2 linked regions of the Bombyx mori genome follow. The protein of the gene in region 2 interacts with the protein of the main gene of each other region in a pairwise test. Links are inferred from orthologs where the notes say so. Each region holds a gene or a part of one and is shown on either strand. Other genes may lie near its edges.

Region 1 (11,957 bases), on a different chromosome or scaffold from region 2:
TCAGGTAAGCACGTAAACAAACGTGTTTTTAATACATCTTTTTTTCATTGCATAGGTGGGTGAACATGGTCCACCTGGTGTTAAATGATGGAATACTCAATTATATATAGGATGTCCCGAAAGTCAACATCGAGCAGGCACGAGACGACGGGCTAAGTAGTAGTTCAGGCAAAATATAAACCAATATCCATTTCACTCGGCTAAGTGATAGTATGTATATTTATGACAATGTAGATCTACAATCTACACCCTATACCTCACATATTTAGACATTGTGATCGTAAATAACATAATTTTTCAAAGATATTTTTGATTAATAAGATTCTACGCTATGTAATAGAAACTTTTCTTATGGATGGATGGATATGGAATGGATTCCTTTTTTTTTAATCTTTTGTTTTTTTTTATGTCGTTACATTATTTTCGATTTATGTTTCGAACACATCACAGTTTTTTGTGGTTCACTGACGACTATATGAATGTTACAATTTTTATTGTCTATAAGACAATGAAAAACTCAAAATTAAACCATAAAAGGCGTTTTATTCTGTCCGAGACTTGCGAAATCTGAGGAAAATTTGTTCCATTGACTTTAAATTTTGTAATAAGTACTTATCAAGGAACGATAACAATTTAAAATTTTAATACTTTAATCAAGTCCTTGCGAGAATCGCCAGGTTAAAAAACATTACTAAAACGCATTTTTAAGGTTTTAAACTACAACTCAAACATCAGACTCACCTCACACTTTCTAACTGCTCAATCAAAAATTTACTTTCTTCGTTTATATTCAGTCCGTTTTGTAATGATTTAATCTCATCATCTTTGGCGTGTAACATACTTTTCACTCTTACTTTATATGTCTCCCAATCTTTTTCCAATCTGTGGCATTCAGCATTCGACTTGCCTAAATTGTATTGTAATTCAGTTATGGTTGATTGTGCATGCCGTAACTCGGATTCTAATTTTAAATGGGTCGTTTCTTTTTCATTCGTTTTTTCTGTAAGCTCTTTTATCCTGAAAAATTACATAGAAAATAAAAGGGAATTTAAAAAAGTGTTTTGTCTTTGCCAATTTATATGTGCATTTATTGAATAGTATGAAAATATCTATCCCACTCAAGATAAGGTTGGCCACTACACGTGAAGCATTTAAGACAAGGGTTCAAGAACTGTTTCTCAGAGAGTTAGCAGAGTCAACTAATTGATATTTATTTATATATATTTATATTAGTATATATTGATATATATGTATTTATTTAAGTATGAGTATTTGTGTCTATAAATGTTATGTATGTTATATATATGTTTAAGTACCTAATATTCATCTCTGCATCCCCCTAAGGTAGACTGTCAGAGAATGCCCATGGCATTAAGTCCACCTATAAACTGTCAAGTATATAAAGTTATAAAGAAATATCTATAGAATCTGAAAACCACTTAGCACCAGGTCAGTCATGAACTTGCCTATGAATTATAAAATGAAAACAAACATTTTCCCCTGAATATAAACTTTTACTTCTATACCAAATTTGATAATTGATTCAAACCTATCTTCTAATTCAGTATTTTGATCCTTTTGCGCACACAGCTCATTTTCCAAAATCCGAATCCTCTCTTTATGATTAACAACTTCAATGTTCACCAAATCATCCACTTTTCGCTTTATCTGTTCCAGTTGAGCTCTCAATGAATCTTTTTCAGAACTAACATCATTATTTTCTTGCTTAGCCAATTTAATTTCAGTTTGTATACTATTGAATTCTGTAAATTAAGACAGGTTTTAATTTACGAGTATATGGATAAGAACGACATATGGCATATGTCACCAGAATTAATAAATTTCACAACCAGTCTTCAAAACTATAACATATCACTTAATTATGCTATTCTACAAACAATAATTAGTAATACTGTATATCAATTTATAAAAGAATATTGAGAAATAAGCATATTTATTTCACAAACAAATCAATTTCATAAATTTATTATAAATTAAAGTTACAGAATTCACCAATTTAAGACTTGTAAGTCTCTATAATTCAAATAATTGACTACAAAGCATACATACACAATTTCCAATCAATGCAAAAAAAAATTAATTATTCCACACTTTGTAGAACATAAAACAATTAATATGAAGCTGTTTAAATTGAAATACCTGCATGACCATTAGCTACTTTCTCTACTTTATTACCATCCTGTGTTTTGCGGAGTTTCTCAAGCAAATCTGCGACTTCTCTATTCAACACATTGAGTTCATTTTTCAACATCACATTTTCAACTTCCAAATTTTGCATTCTGTACGTCCATTCTTCATCACTTACTATTTCTAGGTCAACTGGCAAACTATGTCCTGAGGACAATGTTTTAATTGGGTTTATAGTTTATCAAAAGGAAATAATGATAATATTGCAGGTATACTATCTTGATTTAGCTCAATACTAAATGAATACATTATATGCATTGTGTACATATAGTAAGAAGCAGAGACCATGACTTCTTCATGACTTTTCAACCAAATTCTTTAAGTCATTAATGTTTCATTTATTGTGAAGGCCTATTATGTATTTTTCTAACACGTATGGAGCTTATGACTTATGCTGATTTAAAAAATATTAAACAGCAAATATGAAACAGTTAATCAATATTTTTAAACACTAAGAAACAAGAAAATAATACTTTGTCTAATTAACATGGACAAATGCTATTAATTCTAGTCTTGATGGGATTAATAAAGTAGCTTCCTATATCAATTTTTGCCTGATTTTAATGCACAACCATTCTTAAGCAAAACACTGCTGGTTCAATTTAGACCACCAGTCTACCAAGCAATATCACCCACTCTGTGGAAGATCATCCATTGTTTACTGGTGGTAGAACTTCTTGTGTCCGCAAGTGTAGGTACCACCACCCTGCCTATTTCTGCCAAGAAGCAGTAATGCATTTTGGTTTGAAGGTCAGGGCAGCCATTGTACCATTAAAAGTGTGAGACCTTAGAACTCATGTTTCAAGGTGGGTGGCAGCATTTACATTGTAGATGTCTATGGGCTCCTGTAATCACTTAGCACCAGGTGGACCGTGAGCTCGTCCACCAACCTAACCTATAAAAAAATTAAAAATAAGAAAAAAATTTTATTTATTTATTTTATTGTCACCAGCATCTCCAACTATTTTTAATTGCAGAAACTTGCAACCAACGTTAACAAATTTAAAATACTTACTTCTTTGCCTCAAACCAAAATGGTCAGTATTGCTACCTTTAGTATCACAGACTAATGTATCAGGACAGTTGTCCAAGGTATACTGGTTAGATTTTTTTAAGGGTTTCTTCGTTTTTACAACTCCATTTCTTACTGGCTCTTGATTGCCTTTTACAGGAGATTTATTCAAATTCTGTATAGGAGAAATCTTTCGAGCAGGAGTGTAATTTGAACGTGGCTCGGGAACGGGTGAAATTTTCTTTAAATTTCGTGGTATTGGCCTTTTTCTTTGGTTCCAGGAAGGGTCTGGATGTAAGATAAAATCGGAGTTTTCTTGTTTACGTGCCTTCACAACATTGTGATTGCGTAGGGCTGCTCCTGTTTGCTCGTCTAAATTATTAAGAAGTGTCTCAGCTTTTCCAGCTAAGTCCGCAAACCAAGCCATTTTAATTTATTTTTTGAAAGCCTGAAAATTTTTCTGCACAGTAAATTATTAATAATCTTAATTCGAAGCGATGATTACATAATTATTATATTTTTAATTACAAAACAGAGACTGATCGAGATTTATGTACCCAAATTTTGCGCAGTTTTACACGTCTCGTTTTTAGTGATAATTTATGAAGAACATAAACAGTCATGACGATCACAACTGTAGTGTGTTTAATAAGTAAATTTTGTATTGTTTATAAAATCCATAATACTGTTTAAGTAAGCTGTGTTAAAATTAAATTTTATCAGAAAACAATTTAGAGCATTATTTAGACACGTAAAACTTAATGTCAATTTGATCTTTTCGTTTTTTCGCACATGAGAGCAAAGGTAACTTGCCCAATCGCATCAATTGCAACACGCATCAATTGCATGTGAATACTAGCTTTTGCCCGCGACTTCGTTAGCGTGGAGTAGTTACTTTGGCATAACGCTAAATTATACCCACCTCTTCATTTAAGTAGAAAGTGAAAATATTTTTGAATAATAGAAAATGTTAAAGAGCTATTTAAAGTACCAAAATCACGCTTTTTAACCGACTTCAAACGAGGAAGTTATCAATTCGACCATAATTTTTTATCTATGTATGTTCACCGATTTCTCGAGAATGCTTGAACCAATTCTGATAATTCTTTTTTCTTTTTTTGTTCGAAAGGGTATACTTCCCGAATGGTCCTGTATTCATCAAGATTTAATGATAGGATCCTGGAAAAATCTAGAAAAATCTATAATTGTCAAAGCCTATCTTGAAGTGATTTGGGTGTTTCAATGTTGTAATGAATAACATATTTGTTTGGATAGGGATTAATATAATCTTTATAAAAACACCTTCACAAATAATGCTTTATTTTAGAAGAAACTTGATTAGCATAAAAAACGTAATAGTGAGCCAACCTTTAAATATACACATATGCTGTTACGGAATTTTTTTTTAACTTTTAAAAGAGAACACTTTTGTCATACATTATTTTAGCGTAACTTTAACCATTTCCGCAGCGCATGCAGCAGAACCTCTCAAAAGGGAAAATACCACGATTTAGAAGCATTCTTTATTGCTGCTCCGCTTGCATTGGTCTTAGCGTGATGTTATATAGCCTATAGCCTTCCTCGATTAATGAGCTATCTGACACGGGTTTTTTTTTTTTTTTTTTTTGTTGCTTAGATGTGTGGACGAGCTCACAGCCCACCTGGTGTTAAGTGGTTACTGGAGCCCATAGACATCTACAACGTAAATGCGCCACACACCTTGAGATATAGTTCTAAGGTCTCAGTATAGTCACAACGGCTGCCCCACCCTTTAAACCGAAACGCATTACTGCTTCACGGCAGAAATAGGCGGGGCGGTGGTTACTTACCCGTGCGGACTCACAAGAGGTCCTACCACCAGTAATTACGCAAATTATAATTTTGCGGGTTTGATTTTTATTGCACGATGTTATTCCTTCACCGTGGAAGTCAATCGTGAACATTTGTTGAGTACGTATTTCATTAGAAAAATTTGTACCCGCCAGCGAGATTCGAACACCAGTGCATCGCTCGATACGAATGCACTGGACGTCTTATCCTTTAGGCCACGACGACTTCATAAAAAATTTCTCGCCGGATCTTCTCAGTGGGTCGCGTTTCCGATCCGGTGGTAGATTCTGCGATGCACGGCTCTTGCTAGGGTTCGTGTTAGCAACGTCGTCAGGTTTGAGCCCCGTAAGCTCATCTGCTAGTTAAGGTTACGCCGATATAGCCTCTCAAGGCTCTCAGCTTAGGTAGGAAAAAAAAGATCGATTTATTCGACACTCGTAACTATTTGATAAGATTATAAGGATAAATTCTAAGACGGAAGTTAAAATATTATTTTACGCTGCTCTGTTAAGTTTGTTACCGAAAATACCATTGTTCAAACATTTTATCAGGTATGTTTAGGTACAGTGCATGGATAATACACTGAATATTTAATATTTACATTATTTTATTTAAGACGGGTTAATTTTTATATAACTTACTTTCTCTCTGTTTAAAAAACCTGAAAAGTTCTAAGAAGATAATATTATTTTAATGGTTACATTACTTCCTTGAGACTGTGTGGGCTACGTTCCCTTTACCTGTCGAACTGAACAAAATAAACGAAAATATTTATTTTTTTTAAGAGATTTTATGACCTGGTAACTAAGACCTTTAAGTCATGTCTTATTTTACTTTATTTTCTTAATTTTATGAAAAATGATAATATGGAGTGAAATGAAATGAAGATGATTAATTTGAGACATTAATCAACTGGGATGAAATTTAATGAAATGAGATGATATGGGATGAAATATAATCGCAGTAAAATGGTGGTCATTTACTGAGATTTTTTCAGTGGACTTTTTGGAGGAACCCGAGAAGTTACGTCCAGCAGCTTTGTTTCATTTTCCCACATTTGTGCACTTTCACAGATATTAAACAGTTAATAAACCACCATTATTACACATTTAAACCTGAAGAAACACTAAATAGACAAAATAAAACAAATCACACAACTTCACTCCTCGCGTTCCCGCCAAAAAGTCCAACGAAATTATGTGTTTGTTTGTGTAGTGCATAGATTATACACATAAGTGTAGTGTATTATATATTGGTATTTTGTAATAATTTATAAAAATATAATAATAAACGAAAATATGTACAAATAAACGACTTATTAAAACAAAGTGACATACCAATAAAAATGGATTTTGAAAGTCCAGATGTTGAAAAGGATTTCCCCGGTTTATACGCTTCAGAAAGTGGACGTAAAAGCAATGAAAGTGACTGTAAGTATTATCTGTTTTTGTACACAATTTACCCAAAATTGTGAAGCACAAATCCCTACTATTACGAAGTTTTTAAACTAAATCAAATGAAAAGGATATTTTTACAATAACAAGGTAAAAATCTTTAACTCAATAACATAAGTGTCTATTTCTTTTAGTCGGTTTTATTAAATTGCGAATAATCGAAACTTGTTGATACATATTTATTTTTTAAATTATAGTTAGCGATGGTGCAGAACACGAAAAACCAAGTAAGAAAGACTTGCTAGGACGCAGGAAAGAGAAGAAAGAATCTAAAAAAGATAGAGGTTATGCAGCACTGGAAGGAGAGAGTTCACCTGAAGAAGACACTGATACTAAGTTAGTGCATTAGAAATGTAACTTAAAATTCAATTTTCACACTCAGTTGTGAAGTCCTGGTTTCAAACAAATGAAACACATTAGAATAATATGAACAGCTTCGAGAATCTAATGACAAAATGCCAGTGCATACCTTGTTACTAATGCTGCCAAATTCCTTATCCTTCCTTATCTATATACTCCAGTAGTTCCCGAGTAATATACTTTTTAAGATTAGATTGATTTTATGAGTAAATGTGTGCAGCAATATCTTGTAGTGTCTAAAAAGTTAAATAGTCAACAGGTGGGCTGTGATAATATGATTTGTTTAAATCTGTAGAAAATAAAAAAGTCAATGTTTGACTGTGCTTCATCGTCTTTGTAGGAGAATCCTTTTTTTTTTTTGCTTAGGTGTACGGACGATCTCACAGCCCACCTGGTGTTAAGTGGTTACTGGAACCCATAGACATTTACAACGTAAATGCGCCACCGACCTTGAGATATAAGTTCTTAGATCTCAGTATAGTTACAACGGCTGCCCTACCCTTCAAACCGAAACCCATTACTGCTTCACGGCAGAAATAGGCAGGGCGGTGGTACCTACCCGTGCGGGCTCACAAGAGGTCCTACCACCAGTAATATAATTCTCGCATAATGCACTTGTATGACCACATATAACATGTTATGTACAAATTTAATATACATAGAAATACAATACAATATAACCAATGTTTTTACAATTCTAAAACTAGGAACACAAATTTAATAAACAAATTATACTTTATTTTGTAACAACACAATTGACACACTTATTACAGGTGGTAGAACCTCTTGTGAGTTTGCACGGATAGGTACCACCGCCCTGGTTATATCTGCTGCTAAGCAGTAATGCACATAACACCAGGTGGGCTTTGAGCTTGTCTACATTTCTATGCAATAAAAAAAAAGGGCAATGGTACTTGAAATTAATTATGATGTAATGAATCATATGATAATGTAGAGTAAATATTATAATGTACAAATCATTATAAATTTCACAGGACTGAAATATAATATGTGAAATCCCCAGGTTATATGCTGGAATACCCGTGTTATAAGAGAGACTGAAATCACCTATTTTAAGAGTATGTGTTATAAGGGGATTACTGTATTATGACATAAATTATTGACTATGGTAAAAATAGTCACGAATACACATATACATGCATAACAAACTGTAGTAAAATACTTAATTAAAGTCTTCTTATGACATCAATGACCTGATTGCTAGGCCTGGTCAGTCATACTCCATACTTTATGTCTAATTATCATCTTTTAATAAATTGTTGATGGAAAGGCCCCCTGAGTTGCACAATATATTGACAGACCTTGGAAAGCCACATCATTTTCATTACCACAGGCTCCATTAACCAGTCAACAAGATATGGGACGTCAACTTGAATAACTATTTATATTAACCATAAAATTGTTAATAATATAACAATAACAGAGCATTTGTTCTGTATATATATTCTGCGTGAGTATTTATGATAATAATATCTATTTAATCCAACAGAAGTCCATCGAAATCTAAGAAGACAAAGTCATTCAAGTTCCCAACCAAAAGCAAAGAAAAGCGTGAAAAATCCCGAGATAAAGAAAAAGTTTTAGAAGAAACAGTTAAACATAAAGAAGTAACAGAAAAAGATAAGAAAAAAGAAAAGGAAAGGGAGAAAGAGAAGAAGGAAAAGGAGAAAAAGAAAGAAAAAGATAAGGTAATAATATAAATTTTAATGCGTAACAATATGGTTTTAATACACGGTAATAATGCTGTTTGACCCTTCCAACCATGACTTGACCATCTTGACAACTTCCAGAAACTAACTAACTTTCTATAAGCATAACATGACTGTCAAACGTTAGTTGACATGGACCACTCATGGCTAATTTAATTGTGAGTAATCACCCTGGCTCATTGGCGTTCTACTGAGGACCCTCGTCAACCATAAAGAAGGACATGTTGTCAGTATTAGAAGAAAACTTAGTGAATATTCATACCGAAAAATAAAGTGAAAAAGACATGAATAGCTCAGTTATTTATATTTTTATTCCAATCTATTTAAGATACAGTAGTAGTGCAGGTTAATGATATCAGTAGATATTATCCACGCTACTGATTTACAGCCATTGCATCAAACAGAATAGACCTTGATGGCACAAACAGAAATTTCCCTGAATTGCCAATGATCGTATTATGTTTCAACTCACATAGACTAATGTTTGTGAACGCATAAAAATAAAATTTTAATATTAAGTCTCTTTAATTTGCCAAGAAGCCCACCTTATGCGTAGTTTTTAGCATCCCATATTGACTTATCAACACCAGGTACACAGGCAAACCGCTGACCTTCGAATTCAGTCTTGACTTTAAACTAGTCTTCAATCTGCACAAAATGGCTAAATAATATCCTTTATATTTGCAACATGCATCGAAATACCGTGACTCATTACTCTAAAATAATTCGTTACCACCTTATTGCCAAAAGGGATAATAAACTCATAATTATCCGACTTTAAAAAAAAATATGTATATTTATTTGTACAATATGAAATGACTTTATATTGAGAGTACCATTCACTTTATTTGTTATTCAAATATTCAATCTTATTTACTCAATACTAAATGTTTCATTTTCGCGCTTCAGCGCTTGATACCTTTTTGCATAATTTTGCGGTTGCCTTTATACGCTGGCCAATTTGCGTTGACACTTGGTTAGCGAGACCGTCATTAGTACACGTGGGTCTATGAAAATTATAAAGGTTGTAGGTGTTCGGCCTTGGATGGATGTGGTCGTGTCATGGTTTATTCAGTTGTATCTTGAAATCGCGTCATGCATCACCTACGTAGCGTGTTTACGAAGGTACAAAATCGATTGTTAAACAAACTTTTGTGTGTTACGCGGAAATTTTATTAATGTTTTATTTACTTCATGTTTTTAATATTCTAATAAAGATATCGAAATTAGTGCTACATAAAATGAATAAAAATGAAAACGTAAACAGACAGTAAAATGAATTTATAAATCAACTGTCGGTGCATTTATTGAAAAATATTAAAGTCCGTCATTGGTGTTTGAAAGTGAAATATGTGTAGTACTTACCTACTTAAAAACTTAACTTGATAAGTTAAATTTAATTAATATCAGTGTTAAAAATATTGCACAGTTAATTAAATCAAATCAAAAAAAATCAAAAAAAAATTTATTCAACATAAATGAAAGTACATACTTGTTGAACGTCAAATATCGGTAATGTTTTCGAAAAGACATTTGTGTCCTAGAACAATATCCGCGGAAAATTTGTGTAGTTACCTGCATTTTATTTTATCGTAACACAAGATTATCAGTGAACAAACAAGTTTTAAACAAACAAGATATATATTTAGTCTAATGTCCGGTGTTTTAATGTATGTCATCATAATGTGACTTCAGAATTTTGTTTGCAATAACAAATAATATTTCGCAATTATTTCGTAAAGCTACGCTCACTCAAGTAAAATGAAAATCAATTCTGGTTGTTGTTTATTGAATTATTGTTTACTGGTGGTAGGACCTCTTGTGAGTCCGCACGGGTAGGTACCACCGCCCCGCCTATTTCTGCCGTGAAGCAGTAATGCGTTTCGGTTTGAAGGGTGGGGCAGCCGTTGTGACTATACTGAGACCTTAAAACTATATCTCAAGGTGTGTGGCGCATTTACGTTGTAGGTGTCTATGGGCTCCAGTAACCACTTAACACCAGGTGGGCTGTGAGCTCGTCCACACATCTAAGCAATAAAAAAAAAAAAAAAAAAAAAAAATTAAATTAAAAAAAATAACAAGTAGAAAACCAAAACCGAAAGAAATGCATTTGTTTGATATATGTACAGACGACTGCACAAGTACATGGACACCACCTTAAGGTCTATATTCGCTTGAACACGCCGTTTCTCTTTTTCCGTTTTGGTTTGAATCTGTCCGTGCACCTTTGCTGGGTATAGTACATAATATGTGTTCGTGTTTCCATTTTGGCGAAATTGCAAATATCTTTCAAACTAATATATCATCTACTGACGACTCCCAACAGGCTCCAAACGGCGTCTTTGTTAATATTATATGTACGTCAGTTTGAGATGATCCCCTCATCTCCTTTTTATCATCGCACATCCCGCCATCGGAGCAGAGTTCATCCATATCATCTGGAACCGCTGCGTTCATCGACAGTGCGTTTCCAGAGGTATTTTTTGCCACGTACCACCCGGCTATGGAATGAGCTCCCCTCCACGGTGTTTCCTGAGCGCTATGACATGTCCTTCTGTAAAAGAGGCTTGTGGAGAGTATTAAGCGGTAGGCAGCGGCTTGGCTCTACGCCTGGCATTGCTGAAGTCCATGGGCGACGGTAACCACTCACCATCAGGTGGGCCGTATGCTCGTCTGCCTACAAGGGCAATAAAATAAAATAAAATAAAAACGTTAGGTCCACATTACCAGAGTTGACTTTCAGTGAAATCGAATGGCTTAACGATACGGGTCTCGTCTCGAATCCGCGATCTCGCGATCGATTGGAACGCAAAATGCAATTGAGTCGCGTGTGCGTTTAAATATAGGCCGTCGACAACCCAATCCAGTAACAGACCAAGTTATTTATTTTAGGTGAGATTTGAGTATGTCAGAACCAGATGTTAATCCAGACCAAACTAGGTCACCTATTTAACGTTTATATGATTATGTACTATTTAGTTGAACGTAAAACGCATATATGTGAAGACTATCGCGGCTTAGATAAATGAGCTAAACCTTGATTGAAGAATTTCTTTTATCTCGCCTTGTATCTTGTATGCGTTGCACATATTTATCTGTTTGTTGTTTACAGTTTACAAAACGTCGTATCTATACAAACATACAAATCGACGCTTGAAATGCAAACGTGACTAAGCGACAATAGCTGCTTTGTACATAAATGATAGGCAATAACCATATTCGATGCGCAAAAAAATATATATTTCTAGGTCTATTAAAATCATTTCAATCCTACAGCTAGATTATAGCCTACAGCTAAGTATATTTTAAATTGATTTCAACTTTAAATTAGTCTACTGTAAAGTTCACGCAATGCCGCTTAGT
Region 2 (11,957 bases):
CGAGGCAATATAAAATACTAAATGCAACAACATTCGCTTTGTTTGTATGTTTCCGCGCACGTTTCAAAATAACCAACTCCCATCGAATCCGTGGAGGCCCCAGACTAGAGCGGTGAAAAGCGCGACTGGTGGACCCACCGACCGCACGTAGGAGGCTCTTGGACTAGAGCGATGGGGATCGCGGTTAGAGACTTAACGGCTGCACGCAGGAGGCTCTTAAACTACAATGGTGGGGCGCGCGGATGGACATCAACCGACCGCCCGGAGGAGGCTCCGTAACTACAGTGGCGGAGTGCGCGGGTAGATATCAACAGACCGCACGGGGGAGGCTCCTCAATAACAGTAATGGGGCATGCGGTTGGACGTCAACCGACCGCACGGGAGGCTCCTCAACTACAGTGGCGGGGTGGGCGGGTGTATATTAACCGACCGCACGGGGGAGGCTCCTCAATTACGGCAGTGGGGCGTGCGGTTGAACATCAACCGGACAGAGGAAGCTACTAAGCGGCGGAGAGCGCTGAAAAACATCCACCGTCTGCACGAAAGAGGCTCTTCGACTAGAGCGGTGGGGAGCGTGGGTGGAGACGCACCCTTAATAGCTCGCGGTCCCTTTGCACGTCCGCCAGCTCGGCAATGAGCGCGCGGCACACGCGGTGCAACACGGCGTTCTGCTCCTGCAGCGCCTTCACATCCGGCTCCGTGTCCGCAGAGGGCTCACGAGAGGCACGCCGGTAAACCTCGAAGGCACCCTGGGAACGCGCCGCGTCCTCCCGATTGTACCCGAACCCCTCGGCTTCGTACTCGGGCGGTACGTCGGCGGGCGGGTCCCTCGGCGGCGGCTGCGGAGGTGCACCCTTGAGACGCGTGAGGTCCAGCGAACTAGAGCGTGCGTGGTTGCGGAGCGGACGCGGCGGCGGCGGTGGTGGCGGTTCTTTGCGTGGCAACGGTTGCAACGAAGCGGGCCCCTCGTCTGCTGCGGCGATAGGTTCGCGAGTCGGAGGAGGGGGCAGAGCTCCCGTCCCTTTCACTGGTTTTCGTGGTTGGGGTCTCTGCACAGGTCGGGTATCGGCGGCGGAAGCGTTTGTTTCGGCAGGACGCTTGGGGCTGGCGAGCTCAAAAGCGAGTGCAACGTCGTCCCGCCGCGGGGAGGCGGAGGCGCGGGAGTCCCCGTCGCCGGCTGAAGCTTCTGGTGTAACCCGCAGCGCGACCGGATGAAAAATTTTCGGATCTCGTTCGACGGCGGCGCGCTGGAAGTCAAAGTTCACTGGTTTCGGACCGGGACTCGAAACGCTGGATGTAGGAGAGTCGACGAACTTCGTCCACTCTTTGTTCGGCTGCGCGTCCGCCTTTGGAGGCGAAGCCGACGGATGGCGCTCCTCAGGCCGGCGACTCGTTTTGGCATCGTACGGATCAGCGCCACTGTCCGATTTCGGTGCGAAATTGAAGTCTGCTGAAGTCCCCGAGCCGAACATCTCGGCGCCGAGGTCAACGAGGTCGGTAGTGACGACGCGTTGTGAGAAGCGCGAATCGACCTTTGGTACGAGCGGTGGGGGTAGCATCTCCGGTACCGGAATATTGTTCCGCCGCAATACAATGAGATGCATGGCTATGCTGAACTCCTCTAATGAAAGCATTCCATCTTTATCGATGTCGGATAGTTGCCAAATTTTTCTTAAATCGGGTACGGGAAGTCTTGATTTCTCGAAAAATAGCCTGTCAAAAACATACAATAATGAATTATTTTAAGTACTTTCACTTTGGGTTTAACTTGTTATTTGTTCATTCGAACGTACCTTGCAGTTTGTCCGGACAGAAGTCCTCGTTCGGGTCGCAATTGTGAGAATTGTGACGCGTAGTGATGCGCCTGCGCCTCACTGATAGACCAGATGTCATTGCAAGTATCTCCCTCGCCATCCTCTTCAGATGAATGACGATCGGACGATTCTTCTTCTGTGCCTTAAAATGTTAAAAAAATATTAAAAACATTACATCAATTTCTAAATCTATATAAGGTATTTTTAGGTATTTTAGTTATTTTGTAAAAAGGGTGACAATCTTGAAAGACTTCTTCATCACCGGCAAAGTGGAAGGAAAGAGGCCTAAGGGGCGTAGTCCCATGCGCTGGTCCGATCAGATTAAGACGACTTTGGAATCCAGCATCAATGTTGCTATACACTGCGCGGAGGACAGAAGTGAATGGAGGAACATAGTCCTAACAAAAGTGCTCAGTAAAGGTCACGACCCTCAGAACTAAGGAATACGACGCACGGAGGAGGGAGGTATTTTACGTCTATCTATATAAAATATAACTAACTAACCAATTAATTTGTACTCAACATGGGACAATATGACAAGGTCAACCCAATAACTATGAAATAAAGTTCAGTTCAGAAGAAACAACACTTTGTTAGTCAAACTTTATTCAACATCTACATTCATTTACACCAAAAATTCATCCGTTCCAGTGTGAAGGGTGTATTATGTATGGTTGTAGAAATCTACTTACCTAAAAGTCTTGTGTGTTCTTCAGCTGTATTTGTAGGCCAAACTCCTCGACCGGTGGCACTATGTTCCCAAACTGGGTGTACTCTTTCGGCAACGCTGTTGGTTGGGGTTGGGCTTTCACTCGCTGTGCTCCAGGGTGACCCAGTTTTCACTCTCCGCTGTTAAGATTTGTCATTTTTCAATTATATTTTCTTCTTTTATTTTAAGTGCAGATCGGCAACCCAGGGTGCATCTGATTAAGCAGTTACAAAAGCTCCCATAGATACTATATTTTGTCTTTGATTGCTGTTACACAATAATGAAGAATAGAGTTTGAGATAGGCTTTTTTTTTCTTTTTTTTATTGCCGTATAGGCAGACGACAGCTATGAGAACCAATGTCTCCATCCTCGAAGAGCTGAAGGTCACCAAGCGCCTGCTGACTATGTGCCAGGAAAGGATCCGGAGTTTCTTTGGGCACATAATGCGATCCTCATTGCACAGCCTGGAGAAACTCACAATTCTCGGACAGATGGAGGGGAAGCGCGCTAGAGGAAGAGCGCCAGCTAGATGGGTTGACCAACTCAAGGAGGTGACTGGAGGCCAGATATGGGGAGCGGTACATATGGCGCAGAACCGGACCGAGTGGAGAAGATTGACATACAGTCACGATCCTCAGCATTGAGGGAACGACCAGAAAGAAGGCAGACGAGCATACGGCCCACCTGATGGTGAGTGGTTACCGCCGCTCATGAACGTCAGCAATGCCAGGGGCAGAGCCAAGCCGCTGCCTACCGTTTAATACTCTCCACAAACCTTGTTTGAAGATGGACATATCATAGCGCTCGGGAAACACTGGTTAAATAGAGTGCTATTGCTACAGAAGGCTAATGAAATTATTTGGAGATAAATGATAATAATAATAAATAACTGGGAACAAATCATGCAATGCTCATCAGGCTCCAAATTAGGATTACCTGTGTTATGGGTACAAGAGACTGACATACACACTTCTATATTTGTTTACATATAAACATATATAGATAATAAAGCCCCATACAAAGAGAAATAACCTGTTCATCACACAAATATTTGCCCAATGTTGGATGGATGTCCTCGGTGCAACAGTCACTGAGACCACTGAGTCAGTCTGTACAAGACCATTTTTATTAAATTTTGAAATACAGAAAGACTGAATTTAGAAGCATTTTTGGTGTGAAATGCATATTCATAAAAATCTTTATTAATAGTAGCTACAGGAGATTGGAGGTAATTTTATCTTCTAATAAGAGAATATCTCATGCATCTATTTTGAAGATTAATAGTAATAATATAATCTTCTGGCAAATACTCAATTCCAATTCACAATAACCAATGCATACATGATAAGGCAAAAGTTAATGCTAATATTACAGATGTTAAATAATTCAGTCACTTATTCTGAAATTCAATATAAGTCCAGAATAATATAAGCTAAAACAGAATTATCTAGTGCTACTGCTTAATATTAGAAAAGCTAGAAGACCAACAATTACTCTAATAATTTACATTACTTTCATTAGGATTTTTAATGACTTTTAGAGACTTGTCATTCTAAATCACTAATTTGCTCTCTGTCACAGACACTATCTTATTCTTTTTAGCATATCTTAGAGTATAAAACACAATATTACTACAAAATTAAAACTCATTCATACACCAACAAAAACAACTAAATATGAAATTATATGTATCTCATTTGTAACAGAATGTATTCGACATATGACAAATGAATCATGCCAATATTTATAAATTAAGTTTGCAGATACAAGTTTGAAAATATTAAAAAACCATTTGGATTTGTAATCAAGTTTTATAACATCCTCTTTTTTTGGTCTTTGTATCAAACTAATAAACTAATAAAGCTGTGGTTTTGTTATTTGCGGCATTTAGTCTATATAGACTTTAAATTTGAATAAGTAATGAAATAAATTTTATTTACCTAGTGTGATGTTTTTCTGTGGACTATTTACTTAATCTTACAATTGATTTAAGATATCCAAGCAAGTATTGAATAAAAAAATTATCCCAAACTTACACCACGCGATCCAGATCTTTGTGACATTGTTTCCGACTCAATTTCAGAATCAGTACTGAGTGCTTCATTCCCATCATGAGACAATGTCTGCGGAACATCACTATCAGACAGATTAGAAGATAGTCTTATTGGTTCATAAGCACTAATATTTCCAACAAAATTTCTTTCACGTTTTGATATGTGATGCTCTTTAGGAGAATTAGATAGCTGTATTAAATCAGAATTAGCTTCTGAGTTAAGTGCCCACGTGAACCTCGGCAGTGGAAGATCAATAGGAGTTGATAAAAGATCAGGTTTAAGTGCTATGTTAGTTTGATGTGCAGCTATTAATTTAAGTGCTGAGTAAAATTGCTTCCTGTTCATATGATTTAATGTTGCACAGTTGTTAGGAGACACGCTTATATCCATGATCTGAAAAATATCAAAGTTATGTACCAATATTATATGTACAACCTGTGTTATCACTTAATGGGTGTAACCTATTCATTTTATTACCTGTTTCAGAATATCATTGGATATGTTCGACGATCTAAATAGTTCTGTTGCTTTTAAAATTGGTATTTTCCCATTAGATTCTTCATCACAACATAAAAACAAATCACCGAAATATCTTGTTTCGGTTTCTGTCAAGTTGAGATCCTCCATTATTTTATTAATTTAACAACTGTACAAACTCCTATAACTTTTATCAATTCCAGGTTAAATGTACAACAAAAGTAATCATTATCTATTGATAAAAACCATATTCCTTAGTAAATAGATGGATTTGTATCTTGCTCATCACAAAATTTACACGAAGCAAACGAAATGTCACTGACAGAACAAAGACAGCTGAAGCGACTTTCGTCCATCATTTGTACGACCACAGACCTAACACAATATTCGATCTGGGTGCTTTAGCAATTTGTTTCAGTCTTTCAGCCCAGTCACGCAATTAAAGTTAGTCAGCCTTGTCAAAGAGTTATGATATTTTTTTATTAAATTATTCTTAATATGACGAAAGCATTGTTGGTGGTCCGGAGGTCTTTCCAGTTTCACCAGGACAGGGTTATGATATTATTATATCGAAACGTACCGTGCATACATGAATCGTCCATTATCAAAGGTGGCAATCTGTGCATTTGGACAAAAACATGTTAATGATATGTCAATACAGATTGATTTGAATATAATCGTCTCCTTCAAAGAATACGGTTCAAAACCTGCATGAAATAAAGGTTAATACTTAACCTGTTATTTATCTAAGATGTCGTTCAGAAGAGTTTTGTGACTGCCAATGGAATACAAAGTCAATAATTCGTTTTTCTGATTTAGCAATAATTGTTCAAAAGTCACATTGCCGGCTTTGATAATAGTCGACTCACATATAGGTACAGCAAGAGAGTTCATGTCCGAACCCATATAATATTCAAGTTATTGTTGAATGCATCTTGCTTTGGCTGGTTCAGACTCGTAGTGTATGACATCAGCTTTCGCAGTAAAAGGTTTTTTGAGATATTCTAAAGAATCCAACCGAATATTCTGTTCAAAATATAATAAAGTTGCGGATTTAAAAATTATACATTGAACCATATTTTCATTATAATCTCTATTTTCACAAGCGTTGATGTTTTAATGAGAAATAATATGTACCTACTTATACAAGGTTCAAACACATAATATGTAGTTGTAAACAAATCGTTACATATTTTTCATTTTCAGTAATATAAATACCGAGAATTCATTCCATTAATCATGTTAGGAGGAAAGTTTGTACACCTATCCTAAAAAATATGTTAGTTCTGAAAATAGCCTAATGTCCAGTGTAGAAGACAATCTTCTTCCCAAATTCGAAACTCAACATTGTTGGTCTTTCTTTTTTATTTAAAATAAAATATAATCGTTGTAGGCAAAGAAGCTTACGGTCAGTGTTAAATGCTTAGCGAATCCCACATCGTAACTAAATATTGTTTAATGGCCTGCCAGAAGCAAGAATTGAAAAAGAAGGAAACTGCGTACATTCTAACAAATTTTCAGATTTCTACCTATAAATACTTTTAATTAACCAAAATTGATTTCCTTCTTTTAGTAGGTAGGTACTCGTCTCTATAATCTTATTTATGTTAATAAGCAACGCTACAATTTAAACGGATAATTTTTGTCTCTGGCTAGTTCTTCATTCCACTAACACAAGTGGTATGCTTTCACCAGTTTAAAAACTTAGTTTTCTGTTAGATACTAGTGGTAAAGCATGCTTCTGTGAAGTTGGAAGTGGATAACACTACCCTACCTTCCTTATATAAAGCAATACAAAATATAATTAGAAGTAATTCCTTTGTCATGAGTCGTTCGTAAAAATCTTAGTTAATTCTTTAAGATGAGTTAATCACTAGATACGAATATACAGGCGTATATCGGTAGGCAGCGGCTTGGCTCTGCCCCTGGCATTGCTGAAGTCCATGGGCAACGGTAACCACTCAACATCAGGTGGGCCGTATGCTCGTCTGCCTACAAGGGCAATAAAAACATATATATATACCACTCGCCGTAACTAATAAGTGAGTCACGTTTAAAAAAATTAATGTTTCACATTCCTGATTTCCATTTTTTCAAATATCTTCCAAAAGAATCATCGCTCATGAGTACATGATATTTAGGATTGTGTAATAAAAAACAATCTTGATTGAATATTTTATTTGCAACTGCATAAGTTATTTTTGTGATTTCGTCAAATACTTGAATATAGCAAACCATTTCTATAAGTATTTTCTAAATAACAAGCAGTGTACTACTATTCAAAGTAGTAAAATAATTTACAAAAAATAATAATAATCTTAACTTATATTTAAGCCGATAGATAATCTCGACGTACATGTTGAAAAATATCCTTACATTCATACATTTGATCAAGAGTTTAATCTTTAGATTGAATGTACTTGATGAGATCAATGACTCTGCTGGAATAACCATATTCATTGTCGTACCAACTGATCAGCTTCACAAAGTTGTCATTCAAAGAAATTCCAGCGGCAGCATCAAAGATTGAAGAGTGTGAATCACCAATGAAGTCTGAGGACACAACTTGATCTTCAGTATACCCGAGAATGCCCTTCAAAGGACCTTCAGCTGCCTCCTTGACCTTTTGCTTGATGGCTTCATAGCTTGCAGGTTTTCCAAGACGAACAGTTAGATCAACAACAGATACATTAGCAACAGGGACGCGGAATGCCATTCCAGTCAGCTTGCCATTAAGAGCAGGGATAACCTTACCCACAGCTTTGGCAGCACCAGTAGAGGCAGGAATGATGTTTTGTTGAGCACCACGGCCATCACGCCATAATTTTCCAGAAGGTCCATCAACAGTTTTCTGTGTAGCAGTTGTGGCATGAACAGTAGTCATCAAGCCCTCAACAATTTCAAAGTTATCATGAATAACCTTTGCAAGTGGGGCAAGACAGTTTGTGGTGCAAGAAGCATTTGAGATGACCTTAAAAGAGGGGTCATAAGCTTCTAGGTTAACACCCACAACAAACATGGGGGCATCAGCACTGGGAGCTGATATAATAACTTTTTTAGCACCTCCCTCCAAGTGAGCAGATGCTTTATCTGTAGTGGTAAAGACACCAGTAGACTCTACAACATATTCAGCCCCAGCTTTTCCCCATGGAATGGCCTTAGGGTCCCTTTCTGAGAAAACGGCAATTTTGTTACCGTTAACAACAAGGAATCCATCCTGAACCTCAACACTGCCCTTAAAACGGCCATGGGTGGAATCATACTTGAAAAGATAAACCATATAGTCAAGACCGATGAAAGGGTCATTTATAGCGACCACTTGAGCTCCCTTTTCAATAGAAGCACGGAGCACCAAACGGCCAATGCGGCCAAATCCATTGATTCCAATTTTTGACATGTTATCTGCAATGAAAATAAAGACAAATTAAAACTAGATTTAGTTAGAATCAATTTACTTTTCTTTATATATAATTGTAGTATTTTTAAAACATTTTATGAAATTTTTTGTTACTTATAAATTAAAAAAGTAATACATAGGTTAGTTAGTACCTACTACAGTTTCAGATTCTAAATTAATCTGTAAATTTTAAATCTGTAGGAAAATTGTACATGAAACAGAAAAAAGATATTTAAAAAAAAATAGAGGACCAAAAATGTGTTGTGATAATTATAAATGATACATTTAGTATATTACAGTAATTTATTAAAATAGTTTACTATATTTGTTTATTTTTCAGCGAAATTGTTAAGTTTCATGGGATATTATTTTCTTATATAATAAACTTTATTCCTATAATACGCGATAGATGAATTTTTTGTTACTAAATCTCATATGATATAGCTTTTTTGAAGAAATACCCAATTTATTGATGAGCGTACCGGCGCGTGGAGGTCACGTAGAGGTCACACAAAAATTTAACAAATACCTTAATCACAAGATTCTGTAGTTACTATTTAAGCATGTAGATTTTATTGGGATCAATAACTTTTATGACTTATGCTTTTTTTCAGTTAAAGTTTTTTAATACGAAAATGGATCGTGAAATTGTTACGTGGTCGCAGCGACCTGGTATCAAAGTAAAACAGATAATAAAGTAGTTACTAGTTATAATGCATAAAAAATTTTGAAAATTAACCTTGACAAACATGATAAAATAAACTTACCGGCAAGTTATAGAAAATTTGTTGAATAACTGACCACCACCACGTACGCTCAGTACAAGATGGAGTTTTAAAATGTCAGATGAAGGACAAATTCCGACAAATTCACAAAATCTGTCAAGTTGGAATTTTCATAGAGAAGGGCCAGACGCAACCATAAAATCGCTTTGGTTTTGGTATAGATAATACAAATATACACTATTTACGAAAAGTTTAGTACTATATAGTATTTACATAAACTTGTTTTGAGTACACCAAAACATGAAAACAAGGTGTCAATTTGAATTTACATGCCGATGGAGATATAATAAGCACAATTTACCTGCAGTCAAACTGCGTAAGCAGTTTTGCAGGGCATGTATTGAATGTAAGTGTAACTTTTTATGAATAAATATATTACATACATACATACAAATTTTAAAAGAGGGTAAACCTACGTCATTTATATATCGAGTTAAAAGAAAAAACACAATATTTCGAATATTGGACGGCATAGATTCATAATAATTTTGATGTAATACCAGATTTTGTGGATTACGATGAAATTCATATGAAACTAATTGGAAATTATTTAAGTAGATCCTTTTCAGTGAAAATAATTTTCCAATTCATTTCATTAACATCTTAGTTCTGAGGTACCTAACCAATATAAAAAAATATAACTGAATTGAGAATTTCATTCATTCTTTAATGTGGTAGTTGCACGGGTATGTACCTACTATTATAATATTTAGTAAATTTAAGTCAAATAGTTTTTATTGTATGCCATAGATTATACAAACGCTAAGACACGACATGTAAGCCCGATGTAAACAAGATGAACTTAATCTTACCCTAATAGAATACCTATGTATATATTTCGGATCATTTTTACTAAATTTGTCATGGTAACCAAATTAGGTATAAATGGATTCGGCCGAATTGGCAGAATTATTTTTAGAACATGTCTCCTACACAACGAGCTAGAGGTTTGTACAATTAACATAGTTAGATTCTTACTGACGGAATGGAAGTTATGAACTGCATTCTAAATGAAGGAAACTGGTAATATGTTAGAAATCAGCCTTTATGGGTAAAATTGTAAAATATAGTGAAAACTGACTATAAAATGGTAGGTTCTGAATAAGCATTCCAATTGGATTATCGTGGCCGTATATAACTATATCTCGATTCAGATGACAGGGACAATGGAACGCCCGATTAAGTTTCAGAGCTTTTTGGCACTCAAAGCACCGGTCACCGATATCGGCGAACTCGTCTATGCGACGAAAAGCTCAACGTGCAACCTAACCCATAGAAAAACAGAGCCCATTGAGTATCTCGGCGGATCAGTGGGTCACAGTTCCGATCTGGTGATAGATTTAGCGAAGCACTGTTTTTGCTAGGACTAGTATTAGCAATTTCTCTCAGACTGAGCCATATAAGCTCGCCTACAGAACCGGCAAAGCTCGAATATCCCCTTGATACTACAATCTACAATACCTTGCGAGCCTTATAAAGGTCAATGCTAGCTAATATCCGGTTTTCAGTTCATAAATTTTAATAAAATTAAATCCTAAATTCGTTTATCTGTTATTTTATTTATTACTAGCTGACCCGGCAGACTTCGTAGTGCCTCAATCTATAAATAAATACCTAAGCTTTTGTATAAAATAAACTTAAAACAAACAAAAGGAATCCATCCGACGGGGGACACATCAAAGGGAAAACAAAATTGTTATTTTTATTTAATTCCGAGAATTTTCATATTTATCTACGTTTTAAACCTTCTCTGGACTTTGACAAATAATTCAAGACCAAAATTAGCCAAATCGGTCAAGCCGTTTTCATGTTATGTCGTGACAACGGAAAACGGGTTTCATTTTTATATATATAGATTGGATATATAACTAGAAATGTTGATTTATTAATTCCTCTTCAAGGTAGCAGCTATAAACGACCCAGCAATCGATGCAGAATACATTTGCTACTTGATAAAATTCGACTCCACACATGGAAAGTTTTCGGGAACGGTCACGCGAAATGATGATAACGAAATAATTGTGGACGGTTCGTTAATAGTTTCGTCATTTTATTAAATAAATACGATTTTATATACTGAAGTTGTTTACTAGTTTCTTTTTATCGCGGTATTTATCGCACTCCATAAGTACGATGACCTTTTGGGTGTGTCCGCAGATCTAAATGTTACATAAATCTCGGTATCTATCAAATACATTCAGAAACAACACTTGAATTCGTACCACGTGTAACTGATAATGCTATGCTAAGTTGGCTTGTATGAGAAATTTGAAATTATTACATTAACCACCTTGAGACATGAAGTGGCCTCATCTACTTGTGTCAAGATTTAATGTAATGCGATTCAACATCTTATTTGGATTTATCTGCAGAATAAATGCATTTCTTCCAGGTCGTCCCATAAAAATATTCCGCGAGAAACTGCCGTCCAGTATACCATGGCAATCTGCTGGCGTTCAATATGTTATCGAATCTTCTGGAATGTTTACTTCACTGGAAAAGGCTTCGGTTAGACACTTCAAAAATAAACGTTACAAAAAAGTAACCACAAGCGTTACTAGGCTGTCGTTTTGTTTTAACATAAGTTCTATCCACCAGGGTCATCTCCGAAGCGTTAGAGTCAAACGTGTGATTGTAACTGCACCAAGCGTCGACGTACCAATGTTGATTTTGGGCGTCAATGATGGTGAAATATGTTCAGGTGACTGCTTTACTATGAA

What was found.
Region 1: the proteins of ralBP1-associated Eps domain-containing protein 1 (region 2) and ralA-binding protein 1 interact in binary tests that used the Homo sapiens proteins (3 or more experiments, as listed by UniProt). The link is inferred for Bombyx mori from reciprocal best matches to the Homo sapiens genes REPS1 and RALBP1.

The regions. Positions count from the first base shown.
Region 1 is NC_085113.1:5,999,391-6,011,347, reverse strand, and holds the start of ralA-binding protein 1, read left to right. Parts: upstream 1-5,897; 5' UTR 5,898-6,395; coding exon 6,396-6,480; intron 6,481-6,701; coding exon 6,702-6,840; intron 6,841-8,374; coding exon 8,375-8,573; intron 8,574-8,713; exon of another isoform or gene 8,714-9,689; coding exon of another isoform or gene 9,690-9,719; intron 9,720-10,826; exon of another isoform or gene 10,827-11,945; coding exon of another isoform or gene 11,946-11,957. Other genes in the region: golgin subfamily A member 5, read right to left, coding at 742-1,017, 1,550-1,763, 2,161-2,355, 3,224-3,647. UniProt on the Homo sapiens protein: Multifunctional protein that functions as a downstream effector of RALA and RALB. As a GTPase-activating protein/GAP can inactivate CDC42 and RAC1 by stimulating their GTPase activity.
Region 2 is NC_085109.1:4,004,022-4,015,978, reverse strand, and holds the start of ralBP1-associated Eps domain-containing protein 1, read right to left. Parts: upstream 5,433-11,957; 5' UTR 5,206-5,432; coding exon 5,056-5,205; intron 4,972-5,055; coding exon 4,561-4,971; intron 2,664-4,560; coding exon 2,507-2,663; intron 1,957-2,506; coding exon 1,794-1,956; intron 1,714-1,793; coding exon 558-1,713; 3' UTR 1-557. Other genes in the region: glyceraldehyde-3-phosphate dehydrogenase, read right to left, coding at 7,454-8,452; uncharacterized protein LOC101742449, read left to right, coding at 10,065-10,184, 11,139-11,265, 11,630-11,745, 11,836-11,938. UniProt on the Homo sapiens protein: May coordinate the cellular actions of activated EGF receptors and Ral-GTPases.